Linked DNA regions of Alligator mississippiensis. The protein of the gene in region 1 interacts with the protein of each later gene in a pairwise test. Links are inferred from orthologs where the notes say so. Each region holds a gene or a part of one and is shown in the gene's direction. Other genes may lie near its edges.

Region 1 (8,291 bases):
CTCACCATGCTGCAGAGGGGCTGGCTGGAGCACGAGGGTGCTTCAGCAGGGCATTGGCTGGCAGACAGCCCCTGCACTGAAACAGTCTTATAACGCAGCTAGCTGGGTCAGTGTCTACACATGCATTGCTGTGCATGAAAACACTCCACAGCAGGATAATACTTGTATTTACAAGTCCTAACTTTCTGCAGAGTTTATTAGTTTCCTGTGGCCTACTAGTGCCACACATGTAGATGCTGAGATGTTTAATGTGGAGCTAATTAGGCAACTCTGCAGTTTACCTTGTGTAGACATGCCCCTAGAGGAGAAGGAGAAAGGTCTTCCAACTTTTTTTGCTGAATAGCTTAGTAATTAGGGCATCACACAAACATAGCTATGACATATCTTACATACAATTGATTCCAATAGGAGTAAAATAATACTACAGTAATTTGCTATACTAACGCACTGCATAGTTTGGATTCAGGGCTATTTACAATATAATGCAAACTGACAACAGTTGCACAGATCAGCCATCAATGAATAGAGCTGTGGCAGGGCACCTTTGGTGCCTGCCACTTTAAGGGGCTTGAGCAGGCTATAGAGCAGCCAGCAGGTGCAGTTAGGCCCAATTGGGTGGTCATCTGACTGCAAGAGGGTCCTCAGATTGGAGAAGGGCCAGGCAGCCCCAGTATAAGCCCAGGCCGTAGGAGCAGAGCTGGTAATGACATCTAGGGAGCCAGAAGAGCAACATCATCCACCCTGCAGCTCCCAGAACACCTGAAGGTCAGGGTAGGAACTATGGGGAGGAAGGAGGTTCCTGGTCCTGGGCAGTGACCTGAAACTGCACCCTGCTGGGGTTGGATGGTGTGGTGGGGCTGCCTGTGGTGGGGCACTTCCCAGGAAATGCCACACCTGTGCCTCCCCAGTGAAAGGCAAGGATGGGGTGTCAAAAAGCCTCAGCCCCTGCTGTCTTGTGGGTATCCTGTGGAGGGGAAAGGCTAGGGGAGCATACCCCGACAGAAGAGCATAGGACCCAGGTCTACTGAGTGGGGTCTGAGGCAGGGTCCAGGCCCATAGAGTGGGACCTGTGACAGGGCCAAGGTCTATCTAGCAGGATCTGAGGCCCATGGGGTATAAGGCCCAGCAGCCCAGTGAGGGGCAGAGTAGTGGCCCTGGTGAGGGGTAGAGTAATGGACAAGAGAGATGCTAGAGGCTGAGTTTGGCCCAGTGTGGGGCAGAAAGCCAGAGGCCACATAGAGTAGGGTCTGTGGGTGCCTGAAGGACTGTGCATAGGCTGGCCAGAGTAGTGGCAGCTGGAGCCATGTAGAGTAGGGTCTGTGGGGGGCTGAAGGACTGCATGTAGGACAGCTGGAGTAGAGGCCCTAGTGAGGGGTATGTGGCCAAGGACGTCTGAAGACATCTGAAGCAAAGTTTGGGCCAGAGTCCAAGTGTGGCCCAGCAATGGGGCCGGGGGAGTTGGAAGTGATTTGTGGATGTGATCTGCAAGGCATATGACATGGTGCAAGGGAAGGTTTGGAGCTGTGTATTTTGCCCTTGGCATCAGGGCAACCAAATGTGCAGCCTCCTGCTTATAAACACCTATTTTTGGAAACATCAAAGGTGTGGCAGGCAAGACAGGGTAAACTGCCTTAGACAGGTGGGTGGGCCAACAATTGGACCGGCCTCGAGATGGCCTCATCACAAGACCAAACACAGAAGTAAAATATCAGACCTACAATTTTGAAGTAAATGGGAACAAAATCCAGTTAAAATATCTTACAGTTAAAATTCAAATGTCATTGGTATACTCACCGGCCAGGAAACACAGATTGATCAGTTAAATGATCCCCTCAGAGCCAATGGAAATGGTGAGATTCATGTACAAAATCACTTAAGGGAATATAGTGTTTCTGATCTACAGAGGTACCTGAAGTATGTACATATCTGTCACGGTGTTTACAACTTTTAATTCAACATGATAGGGGGAAAACGCCTACTAAAAACAGATTTTTTTTCTCTGTGAACTACCACGCTTGAAATATATATTAGTGCCTGTTTCAGACCATACAAACAAAAAAGTACATGAAAATCGGCTGAGGTGTGGAAATTTCTTTCAGTGAAATACTGGATGTACTGTCAAGATGCTCCAGAAGGCTAGATTTTGTTTTATAAATCTAAAAGAGATGCACATTTAGTTCTAATGACAGCAGGACTGAAGAAACAACATTTTTTTCATTATTTTTGCCTAGTTTGCTGATTTTTTTTATACAGAATAAATAATATAGCAAATTAACACACATGCCAATAAAATTATATGTGTTTTTGCTTTGATCTTAAACTGAATAATATGGCCCTAGGCCCCTAGCAGATTAAAGCTTCTAGTTTCTTCTTACCTGGATAAAAACATGTCTTTTGTTGCATATGGTGAAGCACCAGGCCATCTGCCCCTACGTCCCCCTTTCAAAATCCTAGATTTGCCAAAGAATACTCTGCCTTATGTGTGCATGCTTGGCATGGCCACCCCAGTGACTGTCCCTTTCAATTTGACTCTCCCCTTCCAATCAGCAATGGAAATGGCTAATAACTGAGGGCAGTGGGCAGTGGGGGCCCAGGGGAGATCACCATCAAGAAGCAGTGCGGGAGCACAAGGCAGAGGCAGATCCAGGGGGGGCAGTGGTACAGTTGTACCCCCCTTTGATTTCTGCTCCACCCAAAGTTTAAAACCAACTGTCTGGCAGCATGAGCAGCATTTCTATTCAGGCAGCAGCAAAGGAGTCCCTTGACTTCACAGCTCATTGCAGTCTACCTGATCCCTTCTAAACTCTTTGTTCCATGGGTGTTATGGAGCCTCTCTTTTTTAATGGTCTTGACCTTTCTAGGATCAAACCAGCCTTTGTTCTGCCATTCTGCTGTCTGGGCTCCTGGTGGCACAGCTCCTATCCCACAGCTCAGCCAGCTGTTCCTAACTCATTTCATAGATTCATAGACATTAGGGCTGGAAGGGACCTCAGAAGATCATCGAGTCCAGCCCACTCCCCCAGGGGCAGGAAGTCAGCTGGGGTCATAGGATCCCAGCAAGATAAACATCTAAATGTCTCTTGAAGGTGTTCAAGGTAGGCACTTAACCACCTCCGGCAGCAGTCTATTCCAAACCTTGGGGGCTCAGACAGTAAAGAAGTTCTTCCTTATGTCCAGCCTGAAACGGTCATTGAGGAGTTTATGACTGTTCAAACTTGTCATCCCTTGGAGCACTCTGGTGAACAGATGTTCCCTCAGATCCTGGTGAGTACCCCTGATAAACTTACAGGTGGCCACCAGATCACCCCTGAGCCTGTGCTTTTCCAGGGTGAAGAGTCCCATGGCTCTCGGCCTCATATCATAAGGTCTGTTTTCCTGGTCTTTGATCATGCGTGTGGCTCTCCCCTGCGCTCTCTCAAGCTTCTCCACATCCTTTTTGAATTGTGGAGCCCAAAACTGGATGAAGAACTCCAGCTGCAGCCTCACCAAGACTGAGTACAATGGGAGGTTGACATCCTGGGATTTGCTTGAGAAGCATCTATGGATGCAAGCCAGCTTTTTGCTCACTTTACTAGCCACAGCATCACACTGAAGGCTCATATTCATCTTGTGGTCAATCATGACCCCCAAGTCCCTTTTGTCTGTAGTGCTAGCCAGTGTAGCACTGCCGAGCCTATCAGGATGCTGCAGGTGTTTCCTCCCAAGGTGGAGAACCTTACATTTTTCGGTGTTAAACACCATCAGATTCTCATCTGCCCATTTGCTGAGCCTGTCAAGGTCTGCCTGGATCACCCGCCTGTCTTCTGGTGTGGATGCTTTACCCCAGAGTTTGGTGTCATCAGCAAACTTGGCCAGTCTGCTTCTGACACCTATGTCCACATGATTGATGAAGATGTTAAATAGTATAGGTCCTAGGACAGAGCCTTGGGGGGCCCCACTGGTTTCAGTGGAGTTCTGTTTGTTTTCACTTCACTTCAGTCTGGCAGCGAACCATCCTGCCCGAGGCGCCTAGCCCATCATAAAGCTTGTGGCTAAACTGGGCAAAGGCCTGTGCCGTGTTCTAGGGGCTGCTTGAGGCTTTTCAGGCCCCCTGCCTGTCCCTCACACCCACCCTGTACCCCATACACTTGGGGGCTGGGCAGGGTTCAAATCACGCTTTGACTTTTGTGGGGGTCTGCAAAAGATAGGCCTGCACATCATGATGCCCTAATAAAATTGGAGATCCTCCAGGTTATGATTTTCAAATCTTACAAAGGGGCTCTCGTCTCTGATGGGGGGGGGGGGGGCAGAGCTCCCCAGTAATTTGAACTCTGGAGTTGGGACCTGGGGGCAGGGGTTGAGGAGTGAGGGGCCCTGGGTCGGGACTGGCCGTCAGTATTTGCAAATGGGCCCTGGCACAAAAAAAGGTTGAGCGCCCACCACTCCTCTGGGAAGGATGCACCTTGCCCTCTGCGCCCCGCTTTCCCAAAGCCCGGATCAGCCCAGGCTGCGGCTCTGAAAAGCTGCAGTGGGGCTGGTGATCCGAGCTGGCTTAGGGTCGCCACCTCGATTTGAATCTACTCCGGGGGGCTTCTGGAGTGGCAACGTGCCCATGGCACACAGCGCCAACGTGCCTGGTGACCCCCGGGCTGTCCTGGAGGGTCCCCCCTTTCCCACCGCCTGGACCCGGCCGGGCTGCGGCCGCGGGAAGCTGCCGAGGGGCTGCGGGGCGCCGCTCCTGCCCCGGCACCCCGACGCGGGCGCGGGCAGAGGCCGGGGCCGGGGCCGGGGCCGCGGCCGCAGCAGCAGCAGCAGCAGCAGCAGCAGGCGCCCGCCCCCCTGAGCCCGGGACCGCCCCGCGCTGGCGGGGGAGGCACTGGCTGCGGCGGTGACGGCGGCGGGGCCGGGGCTGGCGCTCAGTCGGGGCAGCCGCGCCGGGGACGAGGCGCTCGGGCTCGGGCTCTGCAGCGGCGGCGGCGGCGGCGGTGGCCATGGGCGTGGATGTGGAGACCATCTCCCCGGGAGACGGTACCGTGCAGGGGCAGGGGCAGGGGCAGGGGCAGGACGTGGGATCAGAGGGGCTGCGAGCACTTGGAGCGGGGGGGGGCATCCGCTGGCGAGAGGAGAGCCGCAGCGGTCAGGGGCTGCAGGGGAGCAGGTGGGTGGGCGCATCCCTGGCGTGGCTGTGGCAGGGTCTGTGGGTGCGAGCGGGCGGCTGCCCCTTGCGTGGCCAGAGGGCCGGGCTGTCTAAATGGCATTTGCTGACAGCTGCATAAATCCAAGTGTGGTGAAGTCATGCACGGGGGTAACGAGAGCAAATGCTAGCGCAGCGCGCTTCCCCGCTCAACGTGCGGGAGCCCCCAGGCAGCAGCGAGCGCCGGCTGGCTTCCCAAGCCCATCCTGGTGGAGGCATCCTTGGGGCAGCAGCAGCAAGACAGCTTGTAGGGCACTTGTCTGCTGACACCACTCCTGTTCCCACGTTACACTTTTCCACGTTACAGTTGACTCCTGTGGGGAGAGCGTGGGAATGAACGTGAGACACGATTGCAGTCGTGCAAGTAGCTGTGGTCGAAGCGAGCCTTTCACGTGCAGGCTCCCAGAGTTTCCCAAATGTGTTTCCAAAGTTTTTCATGAGCCGTTGGCTGGGTATGGCAGCAATGTTTGGCGCAGCAGCAGCATTTTGACAGGCCTGACCATTTCTCCCAGGTTTGCAATGGGCAGCTCAAGTTTAGACTGAACGTGAATCTTAGCTTATGAGATCACTTTTTCACAACCAAGTCAGGGCTGCTCTGCTCTGGGCTGGTAGCGTCACCATACTACCTCTGAAGATAAATACCATCGCTAATATACAGCTGTATGAAGGGGCCAGCTTCATCCTTGGATTACCTTTCTTGGCTCGAGCTTTTTTCTACTCTTCATTTTCTTCTTCTGCTGCTTTGTTTAGCTTTGAGGGCCAAATGATGCTCCCATTTGCCCTAAATTTGGGGGATCTCCATACATGGAAGAAGGGCAGCTATTGTAAGTGGTGCTGAGGATAGAATTTAGTCTTGGAATTGTATTATTTACCTGTGCAGTATACAGAGATGTGCTAACTATGGGAGATGCTGTTCAAATTAAGGTTATAAATATCTTTTCTTTGGTTTGTAAATCTTCATCTAAACTGCTTGATTTGAACAGTGTCATCAAACCACAATTAGTATGTACTGTTGCCCCAGATCTATTCGACAGTCATTCTGCTGTAGTCAGTGGTCTTGGCTTCCTTGGGTCTAATTCAGCCCTCATGCAAACTGATACAGGTCCATTGAATTTCTTAGCATAACACCTACTTTTACTAAAGTGGAAATTAGGTCAAAGATGAATGGTGCCATATTCCTTCTCATTTAGTTCTGAATCTAATAGCATATCCTTTGCCTGGGGCCTGTTGTGGGTGGCAGTAGCATTAGCTATGGCTAGCTACCAGCCCCATTGTTCTCGGTGTTATACAAATGTATCATAAGAAGCAGTCGCTGCCATTTTCCAGTCTAAACAGAGTAGGCAGTTTGTAAAAGGTTTGGAAACCTCTTCACTACTGATGGCTATATATTAGGAATCTGTGCTTGACTTGCGTACCGTTTCTGCTGCCCTCCTCCTACTATTTGTTTCTGGTGTACAACTGTCCGTCTCAGATCATACCTGATAATAAAGCATGCTGTGGTAGCACACGAAACTCAGACGGAAGAGACAACAGAAGGCCATCATGGAGGTTGGCGCAGGATCCTGCCTTAATATCCAACTTCTGAAGCTCCTGCTTGGGTTGTTTCTCCACTAGTACATCCCATCCCATATACTGCAGATCAGTTCTGCTGAGCCTGGGTCCTGTGCCTGCCAACTCAGTTCTGCAAATCAGTGGTATCTGTTTTAATCTGCTGCTACTTGGAAGTTTTGGATGTGTCCTGGAAAATTTCCCTGCAGCTTTGTATGCCTGTCCAAGCCTGCTGGCAGAACCTAGGGTAGATGAGTAACTCTCAACAATGGCAAGTGTTTTATTCAAACACTCTCTTATGCCTAGTGTCAGAACAAGGGGCAAAATAACCATTGTTACAGAGGGGCTTTCAAGAGCTCCCTTCAGGATATCAGTGCCTCAAGGTTGCCAATTTAAAAAATGCATTTGTATTGTATGAGAGAGGATTTTTGGGAAGCTTTCCCATTTACTAATTGCATGTGTTCTCATGAAAGTAATGTTAAATATATGGCATTTGAATTATGAATACTAACAGCGAACTTTACCACTATCCCAGAGTTTGATTTTGTTTGTGAATGACAGCAAAATGGCTCAGAGAAATTTAAGAACATGATCTATCCATTATGCTTTTTGAGACTCCCCTTGCAACAGCAGGATATAGTCCATTGATGGGGAACATCTAATGTTACAGTAAGTGTAAAATATGGTATCCTTGTATGAAAGGAAAAGGCAATATTATGAGAAAATATTAGTATTATTCCCAAAACTAAACATGGATCATAACGGGAACTCTCTCTCCTAAGCTATAGTTACCTATCTCCCTTCTGGATATTGGCCGTTTGGATAAAATGTCACTCAGACCTAAACCAGCCCTGGATTTAGTCCCCAGCCTAGCCTCTTCGTCCCATTCATTCTAAAAGCTGATCGTGAGCAGGCATGCTACCAAAGATTTTTTTTTTAATTAGATTTTATGTTTTCAACAGGGAGGACATTTCCAAAGAAGGGTCAGACATGTGTGGTACACTACACAGGTAAGCATGTTCTGTATGTTCTGTCCAAACTGTCTTGCATTTTAGGAGTTACTGGTCATTTCAAATTGGATTTTTTTTTTCTTCCCCTGCCCCTCTTTAGCCCTTTGTTTCATTGTTGATACTTTTCTGATGAATCTTCTGGAGGCGTGGCTCCCTACAAGCAGTTGGAACTACAATACCTATGGGCACTTCCTATTAAGTGTTCTAAATTAAGATTGTACAGCTCACTCTACTACAACAGGCAGTGAAGTCAAATGCAAAATGTGTAGCACAGTGAATAATCAGGGCATGTATCTCTCCAACCTCAGACCCTGACATTATTAATGATCTGTTTGATAGTCTTTCTTTTGATTTTGCATGTTGTGAAACCAACTATCCTGTGTATTTCTGTGGCAGTTACAGGACTAAGCAATGTCCACATAAATCCCCCAGATAGTGGGAAGTGAATCAGTCTCTTTTAGAAATTCTTAGGATTGGATCCTAAGATGGAGTAAATCAATAGAGCTCCATTGACTTCAGTGGAACTAGACAAGTTTACTCTGGTTTAGCACCTGAGGCTT
Region 2 (8,056 bases), about 140 Mb from region 1:
ACAGCATTGCTGTGTAGCATTCTGGAGAATTAAGATGGTGGCACTGGGGGAGTCCTTCAAGTGCTAATGCTTCTAAGCACAGGAACAAGTTTTCTCACCACCTCAGGTTGACAACACAAGCTATTTATTTGGCTCCTCCAACTAAAATTCTTTCTTTTTCCTGTATCCCTGATCACCCTTGACTCCTCCTACATCCTTGTTGCCTTCTCTTCTTCTTTTCCTCCCGCACACAATGGCCATGTCCACACGAGCGTGCTTGTACATTTGTGGCACATCAAAGGCTTTTGAGGCACAGCAAAATGTACCCTGTGCATGTGATTTGGTTCTCCGGACTTCATATTTGTAGTGCAGAGCTGACTTTAGATATGGGGAAATCCTAATGTCAAAAAAAAGTGTGCAGAAAAAAAAGTGGGATGGCACATGTGGCAGCAGCATGCACCCCCTGAAACAGGAGCCTGGTTGGTCAGAGTTACACTCTGGCTGCTGGCCAGGCTCCATGTGACTGGATTGCCACCACTGGAGGTGTAGGAGGCCTCCAGGACCCCAGGTAAGCCTTCTGGGGCTGTCCCTACCTCACCTGGAGCACTTTTCCCCAAGCTAACCCTACATGCAGGGGCATGCACCAAGGGAAAAAGCAGCAGCATGAATTTGTGCCAGTGCTTTATTCCCTGCAACAATTGCTTGTGGAGACATAGCCATGATGTTCATCCACCCTCTATACTTCTGGTATTGCCACTATCATATTTCATCATAGTAATTCGGTTTTTGGAGGCTGGTGATGATGAGAGACTCCATTCTTCAGGAGACTTTAGTGTTGCCCAAAAGTGTACTGTAATAATGTTGTAGTGCTGCTGTAGTGATGATACTCCAGAAAGTATGTGAGAAACAAGATCTGTTTGGCAACAACTTTTATTGGATTGACTGCACAGTTGGGAGAGATGTTAGAAAAGGTCTTGGACACAAAATATTCTCTTTCAACTCTACTTGATCTGAAGCCAGTAGTTAATCTAGTATTTTGAAAAAGGAGTGGGGGTGCAGATAGGGGGAAGCGGAGAGCTCAGATGCAATAAGTCTTATTGGTATTGGTGCTGTGCCAAGCATGCTGAGGAATCAAAGAAGTGTAGGACTACACCACCTCATCTTTCACAACTTCTCTTTCCTTCAAAGGTTTACTACCCCCTTCCTTTTTTATGCGGCCATTTTTATTTACATAATGAAATGGGATTAAACAAAAGTCACTGTTCTGCCTGATACTTACCTTAGGCCAAGGGTGTCAGTCACCCATGCTTTAGGCCAGATCTGGACCGTAGGGCTCTTTGCAGGCCAGATCTTCAGAACAAGCAGTGGATGCAGTGGGGTCAGTGGCCGCAGCAGGGCAGCAGTGGTCATGGAGGCAGCAGAGGTGGGGCTAGTGGCTGTGGCAACAGAGGCAGCGGTGGTGGGGCAAGTGGTAGCTTTGGCGAGGCCAGAAATGGAAGCAAGTGGCTGTGTGTCAATCGATGCGTTATAAGTTGCAGTGGTGACGGGCCAAGTATCTGTGGGGCTAATGACCCTGTGTCAACACAACCTTCATTTGCCTCACTGCTGCAGATGCCCATGTCCAATAGGGACCAAGGCCCCAGATTCTGCAACAGCCCTGCTTTCTGCTGGCTGTGCCCCAACATTTCCTGGCCTGCTAGTAGATGAATGGAGTGTCTCCATGGGTTGGATCCAGCTTGCAAGTTATCTTGCTTAGGCTATATCTGCTTTTTTCCCCAGTCCTAAAGAAGTGCACTTCAGACACAGTGGCTGCATATTCTGTACATCAGTGAACAGACGTGTGGTTTTGTGTTATAGGTCTGCATGCGGTGATGTTGAGAAGACAAAACCAGTTGTTGGTCTTAGCTAGTGTTTTCTGGCTCTTTTATGCTTCTGTTGATAATATACTAAATGCACTTTGTTAAATTAAACACTTTCTTTTCACAAGCTATTTGGAAAAAATCTTTGATGTTAGCTACTATTTTCATTTTGGCATAGTGTTTGTTAAAAAGAATGCAAAACATTTCATTCTGTTGATGACATTGTGAACGGTTTTCTATTCTTCTATTTTTTGTAAATGGTATAGTACCATAGCAGAGTTGCAGGAAGTGGGGTACTTGCCTCATTTGCTGCTCAACTTGGTGAAAGGGAATGTTCTGTATGTACTATGATTTAAGGAAGGTCCCAGTCCTGTTACACATGGGAGGAAATTTACAACCCCAAACAGTCCTAATGAATTCAGTGCAGTCATTAATGCGTGCATTTATGAGAGGGGGGCCCCTACTCATTCACTATAATGCTGCTGTTGGCCTAGAATGCATTTAAAAAGTATATGTGTTGAATGCACATACATACAGTAGGATTTCTTTCTAATGTCTCAAAACTCAAAGTCAAAAGGCAATTCTGCCAAAAACTGACTGTTCCTATGGCAGATTGCAATACCTAGATATTTTGAAGCAATTGTTATAACAATTGAGAAAATTTATTCATTAGAGTAGGAGGATAGTGAAAGAAATAAACCATTTTTATAATACTTATTAAAAATATCATTCAGTCAGAGATTAAGCCTGAAGAATATCTGTCTCAAAGGTAAAAATCTTTTGAATAGTTAGCTGCTACTTAAAACAGGAGGTTAGAATAGAAACAGTTAAGCTGTGTTAACTGTTGAGGTCATTCATATAACTCCATGGCATTCCCTATAAACCCCCAGAGGTCCTTCGCTCTTCTCACATTTTGCCTCCACATTCTTCTGTCAGAGGTATATTTTCTTTATTGCTGGTAAAGCATTGAAAGTCTGATGTTTTGCTCAGTGTTATCCCTTCATTTTCCCCTTGGTTTTCTGCAAGGTCAAACACGATAGAAATGGCTTTCCAAGATACATTTAGCTGGTCTGTCTTCTGTCACCCTAACCACATGGTCTGCCCAGTGAAGCCATTGGCATTTCCTGATTGGATCATCTGTTCACACACATTGTTCTTCCTCCCTTGCCCAAATATTCACGTTGATATTGTATTGTCAAAGGTGTTTGCTAACAAGGAAAAAAAGATGATTAAACAGCCAGGTTCCACAGCCACTTTAAACAATCAGCTTTGTAAGTGCCTCATCTATCTGAAGTTTGGTCTTTCTCAGGAGTTTTTTTTGGAACCAAAAGCTCTGCTAAGAAAAGTGGGAGGCATTGCCACTCTGTATTCATGTCTTAATTCCCACCCCCCCACCAAATTATTAGTAAGTAATGCTCCTTCATATTTAAATTGCTTAACTTATTGATACATATTTTTTATTATCAACTGCACCGCTACATAAAATAGTATATTATTCAGGTCAGCTTGCAGCCATCTCTAGGCTTCTACTTTTCAGTGAGCTTGAGTTCCATTTTCTTTCTGTTTCCTTCATGTCTCCAAACCTCCTTCAGATGCTGCCTTCAGTTTCTCCTACACTAGCCAAACTTCACCGCATCCCTCAGTTGATTCTGGCGATTAAAGTTCACCCGAAACAGAGAAGGTTGTGCAATATAAATGCACACATTCATGCTGTAATTATGTTTAAAAATAAATTAGAAGCACCCAGAAAGGGGGGTTACTTAGGGGCATGAGGCTGGGAGGAGCCTCCTGGGCCTTTGCATTCTGTATCTGGGGGCTATTGCTTGCCCAGAACCACTACTTTAGACTCTGATGCAGGACCACAAGGCACAAAACCCCTGAAATACTAAGGGGTTACACACTAATTTTGGTTGCTCCTGGAGCTCTTAACCCCTGGACTGTCTGCATGTTAACACCTTAAAGTGGTTTTAAGCACTCGTTATGTGGCTCAAAGTTACGCCAAACCAGAGCACAAAACCCCTGAATCTCCAATCTGCACTACCCAGCTCCTGTTCCATTAAGGTGTGGCCACTCCTCACAGATGTGCTGCCCAAGTTGAGTCCTGCAGTATCCCAGGATCTCTCGCACCTTCCCTGTTCATAAAGCAGGACCCCTAAAATATTTCAAATGGAGGTATGAACCAATTTGCATGGTGAGTATGGGTATTCACCACACTTTGCATTGTAAGTGTGGATATTAGGTATCATAGTCATCTTTTGCAGACCTCTTAGACATAGTCTGTGGACCACCCAGGACCAGAAGTTGAAAAACCACCGCTGTAGATTAAGGGTGTGACTGCTCCAAACTCCAGGCCAGCACCAATACCATCAACATTTTTGCAGCTCATAGCCTAAAGTATAACAAGACCCTCTAACAACAGCCTGCAAGCTCGCCTAGGTCAGAGCCGGGCAGGTGAAGGCACAGGCAGAGCAGCTGGGATTGTGGTGGCCACCTGCTCCCCACCCTGCCACCCACACATCATCCCATCTGTCTATCATCTGCCCCCACCGGCTCCTGCTAGGTGTGTTAAAAAAAAAAGTGCCTGGGGGACTTAGGAGCCTAGATCCCACTCCTAGAAGCAAGTGCTACACAGCCAAGGCCTGAAGAGCTAGGCCAGCCTCTGAGGGGAGCCAGTCTTGGGGCTCAAGAGGTGGGACAGCCTAAGGGAACAGGGTTTGGGGCTGAAGAGCCATGTTAGCCTCTGAGGGAACCTGGGTTCGGGGGCTGAAGAGGTGGGACAACTTAAGGGAACTGGACTTGAGGCTTAGGAGCTGTGACAGCCTCTGAGGGAACCTGGGTGTGGGGCCGAAGCTACAGGACAACCTCTGAGAGAGCCCAGGTTAGGGCTCAAGAGGCGGGACAGTCCGAGGAAACCGGGGTTTGGGGATGAATAGGCAGGACAGCCCGAGGGAGCCGGGCTCGTGCGGGCCCCGGGGGAGCTGGGCAGCCGCCCCTGCGCCCGGCGCGGAGCCAAGAGGCCGGCTGTGCGCCGAGCGGCCGGCAAGGGGCGCCGGCCCGCAGGTTTGCGCCGCAGAGCAGCCGGCTGCGGATCACCTGCAGCGGGGGGGAGCCGAGGAGCTCCTCCCTGCCCAGCTAATCGCTTCCCCCCTCTCCCTGCCTCTTCCAGGCACTGGCGCGCAGGAGGAGGAGGAGGTGGCGACTGCTGAGGCTGGGCAGAGCCGTCACCTGCTGCAGAGCGGCAGGAGCCCTCAGCCGGCCGGGCCGGGGCTGCACCCCCCTCCCTGTCTCGCGGGGCACCCAGGCAGCCGCCGCCGCCGCAGCGCCCGGGGGCCGAGGGCGCCATGGCCGAGGGGGGCGAGGGCGAGGACGAGATCCAGTTCCTGCGGACTGTAAGCGCGGCGGGGGACCCCGGGGGCGCTCATGGCAGTGGGGGCGGGAGCCTGCATTGCACTGGGCGGGGGGCATCCCCGGCGTGGAGGCTGCGAGGGTTGCACGCCCGAGCCGCCGGGGCCGGGGGCGATGCGGCGGGCTGGCAGAGCCATGTGCGCGCCGGCTCCTGCCGCCCCCGGGCAGGGCACCCACCTCCGCCCGGCCCTGCAGAGCCAGCCCCGCGCCTCCCCCTGCCAGCTGCTCGCCAAAGATGCATACAATCATGCGATCCCCCCCAGCTGCAGGTGTTGTCCTCCCAGGGGAGGGGTTGGTGCAAGGCATCCCCCCACCCTCCATCTCCCTATATCCCCCCCACACACGCACACACACATACGCACACTTCTTTTGGCTTTTAAAACCCGGGTAAGCCTGGATCAGGACCGCAGGTTCAGTTTTATTTTTGAGTGCTGCTTTTCTCCACTCTCCTGACCCCTCTTGCTAGTGCTGTGCCCATGGCCAAGCCTGGCAAGTTTTTCTCTAACCAGTTGCCCCACACAGACCCACACAGTTTGAAGCGTGGGGGGGAATCTGTCTCCACGAGACATGCATCCACACTGACACTGCTTAGACCACGTTTCTTTTTTCTTCCAAGTCCAGTCTGGTTTTCAAAACGTTTCGTGGCTTGCTTGTGTAGCAAAGCAAGAAAGGAAAAAGGAAGCCGTGTAACTGGTGCATGTTCAGATTGGGGTGGGTTTTTTTTTTTGCAGTATTGTGGAGGCTGGTTTGGATGTACCCTGTTTACTTCCAGCCGGAAACCTTCAAGAATAAAGCTGTTCCTTAAATATAGCTGAATTTACAGCAGCGTATGTTGAGCGTATGGTCATTCTGCCTCTGCTCTTCCAACATGGCAAAGCTATAAACTTTTATTTGCCTTAGGGTTATGTGGCACATAGTGTAGTACCAGCAAATATCTTAAAAAAAAAAAAAAAAAAAAAAAAAAAAGACCTCCCCTCTTCCCCCCCTTAAATCTTTCTCAGAAAGAAGATATGGCTTCACAATGTGTGTGAGTTTGGTTGTTGTTTCCTGCTGTTAAAATTTGATCTAAATATTTGGAAGACTTGTGTATTTACAGGCTTACTGCAGGTTTAAATGTTAAGCATAGCTCATGGAGATGTTGTTATCTGAATACTTAATAGGGAAACAGAAGCAGTGTGCATACTAATAGCAGGCTGCACATATAGAGTAATGTTAAACTCCAGCACTTGACAGCAGCAGCACGTTACGTAAAACAGCACTTCTGATAATGTGTGTCAGGCTGGTAATAGAGGTCTGGCAATCTCAGCATTGGATTATTGTGTAAGAATCCTTAGAATGTTTCTCTGATAATAAAAATGACCTTGAAGAAGGTAGTAAACTGGAGCAGTGGGAAATTTTTGGTGTTGGGGTTCAGACTTGAAATATAAAGGGCCTAAGATATATTTCCAGTTTCCTGTGAAGTTTGGAATTTCCCATCTAAAATTGTTTTTGTGGGGTGATTTGCCTTAATAGTTCATCCGTCTTCCCACTACCCTCTACATTTTAGTTTAACTGAATTGGGAATATTTCACTGAAGAGAGATGGAAAATCACTTGTTTTATAAAACTTTGAATGCAGTTTTTGCCTTTGTGTTCATTGTTTGAATTTGTGGACTAATCTCCCCCGGGGTCTTTTATACATGTAACTGCTTATGCAGCATTGATAAAATACTCAGTTTGCAAACTGATTATTAACTGATAATGGATGTGTATGCATTTTTTAAAGACAATTAGTCATTAGGGACAGAGGGATACTCTAACGCTTTGGTAGATAAAACATTCTTTCACTTAAGGACCCCAATCTATGATCTTGGGGGGGGGGGAAATGTTTTATGATGTTCATTTGGGGCTAACTGTGAGAAATACTACATTTAAACTGCCATTCTTTGCACATGCTGTTCTCTATAGGTTCTACTAAACTCCTGGGAAAGGCTGTTTTTTCAACTGGGGTTGGAAAGATATATTTATTGTAGCATGGGAATTTATTATGTGCAAGTAATTTTTCACGTTAAAATTTTAATATTTATTTACATTTAACTATTAAGCAGTTTATATACAGTTTATTTTTAGAGTGTGTGCCTTTCTACACCCTGCTGTGTCTAGTTTTCTCTCTCTCGCTTGTTTGGTGCCTTTTTTGGCCAAGATGGCTGAATGCAAGCCCTCCTGCAAATCTGCTTCTCTTGTGGATTTTGTGTTTCTTTTGGCAACTAGCTGATTCTGATAAATCACCTTTGAAGAGGTAGCTGTAACTTCTTGTTTCTTTAGGTCTTTGGAAGCAGCAAGCCTTTTTTTTCCAAGTATTCTTGCAATGTGGGCTGGAATGCTGTTTCTGTCCCATTAGGCTAGCCCAAAGGAAATGTTCAGGAGTCCTATAAATTTTGCACCTTAGTATGGACAGAATTCAGGCTCATTACGTTGCTGAATATTCCATTTGGAAATACTCTTATACAAGAGAGATCATTTTTGTGCCAAGCACCAGATGCCATGTACTGGCTTCCCCCTGAAATGCAGGCATGGGGGTGGAAGTGACTAGGAGGCTCTTGTAGCTCCTCCCTGCAAATGCAAGTACCTTCTTGGTGCATTTTTTATATTAAGAAAGAAAAGAGAATGTAGTGTACAGATTAAAACATCTGCAAGCAAAACTATAAATTGGTTATAATTCCTATATGAATGACATGATTTTCTTTTACTTGGACATATCATTTGGCTGCAGCAAAATCAATTCAGGCTTTCAGGGAGGGAGAACAGAAAATCCTTTAGGCAGATTCTTTCCAT

The links. The genes of interacting proteins can lie anywhere in the genome.
Region 2: the proteins of FKBP1B (region 1) and RYR2 interact in binary tests that used the Homo sapiens proteins (3 or more experiments, as listed by UniProt). The link is inferred for Alligator mississippiensis from reciprocal best matches to the Homo sapiens genes FKBP1B and RYR2.

Annotation. Positions count from the first base shown.
Region 1 is NC_081824.1:15,854,547-15,862,837, reverse strand, and holds the start of FKBP1B (peptidyl-prolyl cis-trans isomerase FKBP1B), read left to right. Parts: upstream 1-4,876; 5' UTR 4,877-4,970; coding exon 4,971-5,007; intron 5,008-7,683; coding exon 7,684-7,731; intron 7,732-8,291. UniProt on the Homo sapiens protein: Has the potential to contribute to the immunosuppressive and toxic effects of FK506 and rapamycin. PPIases accelerate the folding of proteins. It catalyzes the cis-trans isomerization of proline imidic peptide bonds in oligopeptides.
Region 2 is NC_081824.1:154,220,218-154,228,273, forward strand, and holds the start of RYR2 (ryanodine receptor 2), read left to right. Parts: upstream 1-4,954; 5' UTR 4,955-5,179; coding exon 5,180-5,227; intron 5,228-8,056. UniProt on the Homo sapiens protein: Cytosolic calcium-activated calcium channel that mediates the release of Ca(2+) from the sarcoplasmic reticulum into the cytosol and thereby plays a key role in triggering cardiac muscle contraction. Aberrant channel activation can lead to cardiac arrhythmia.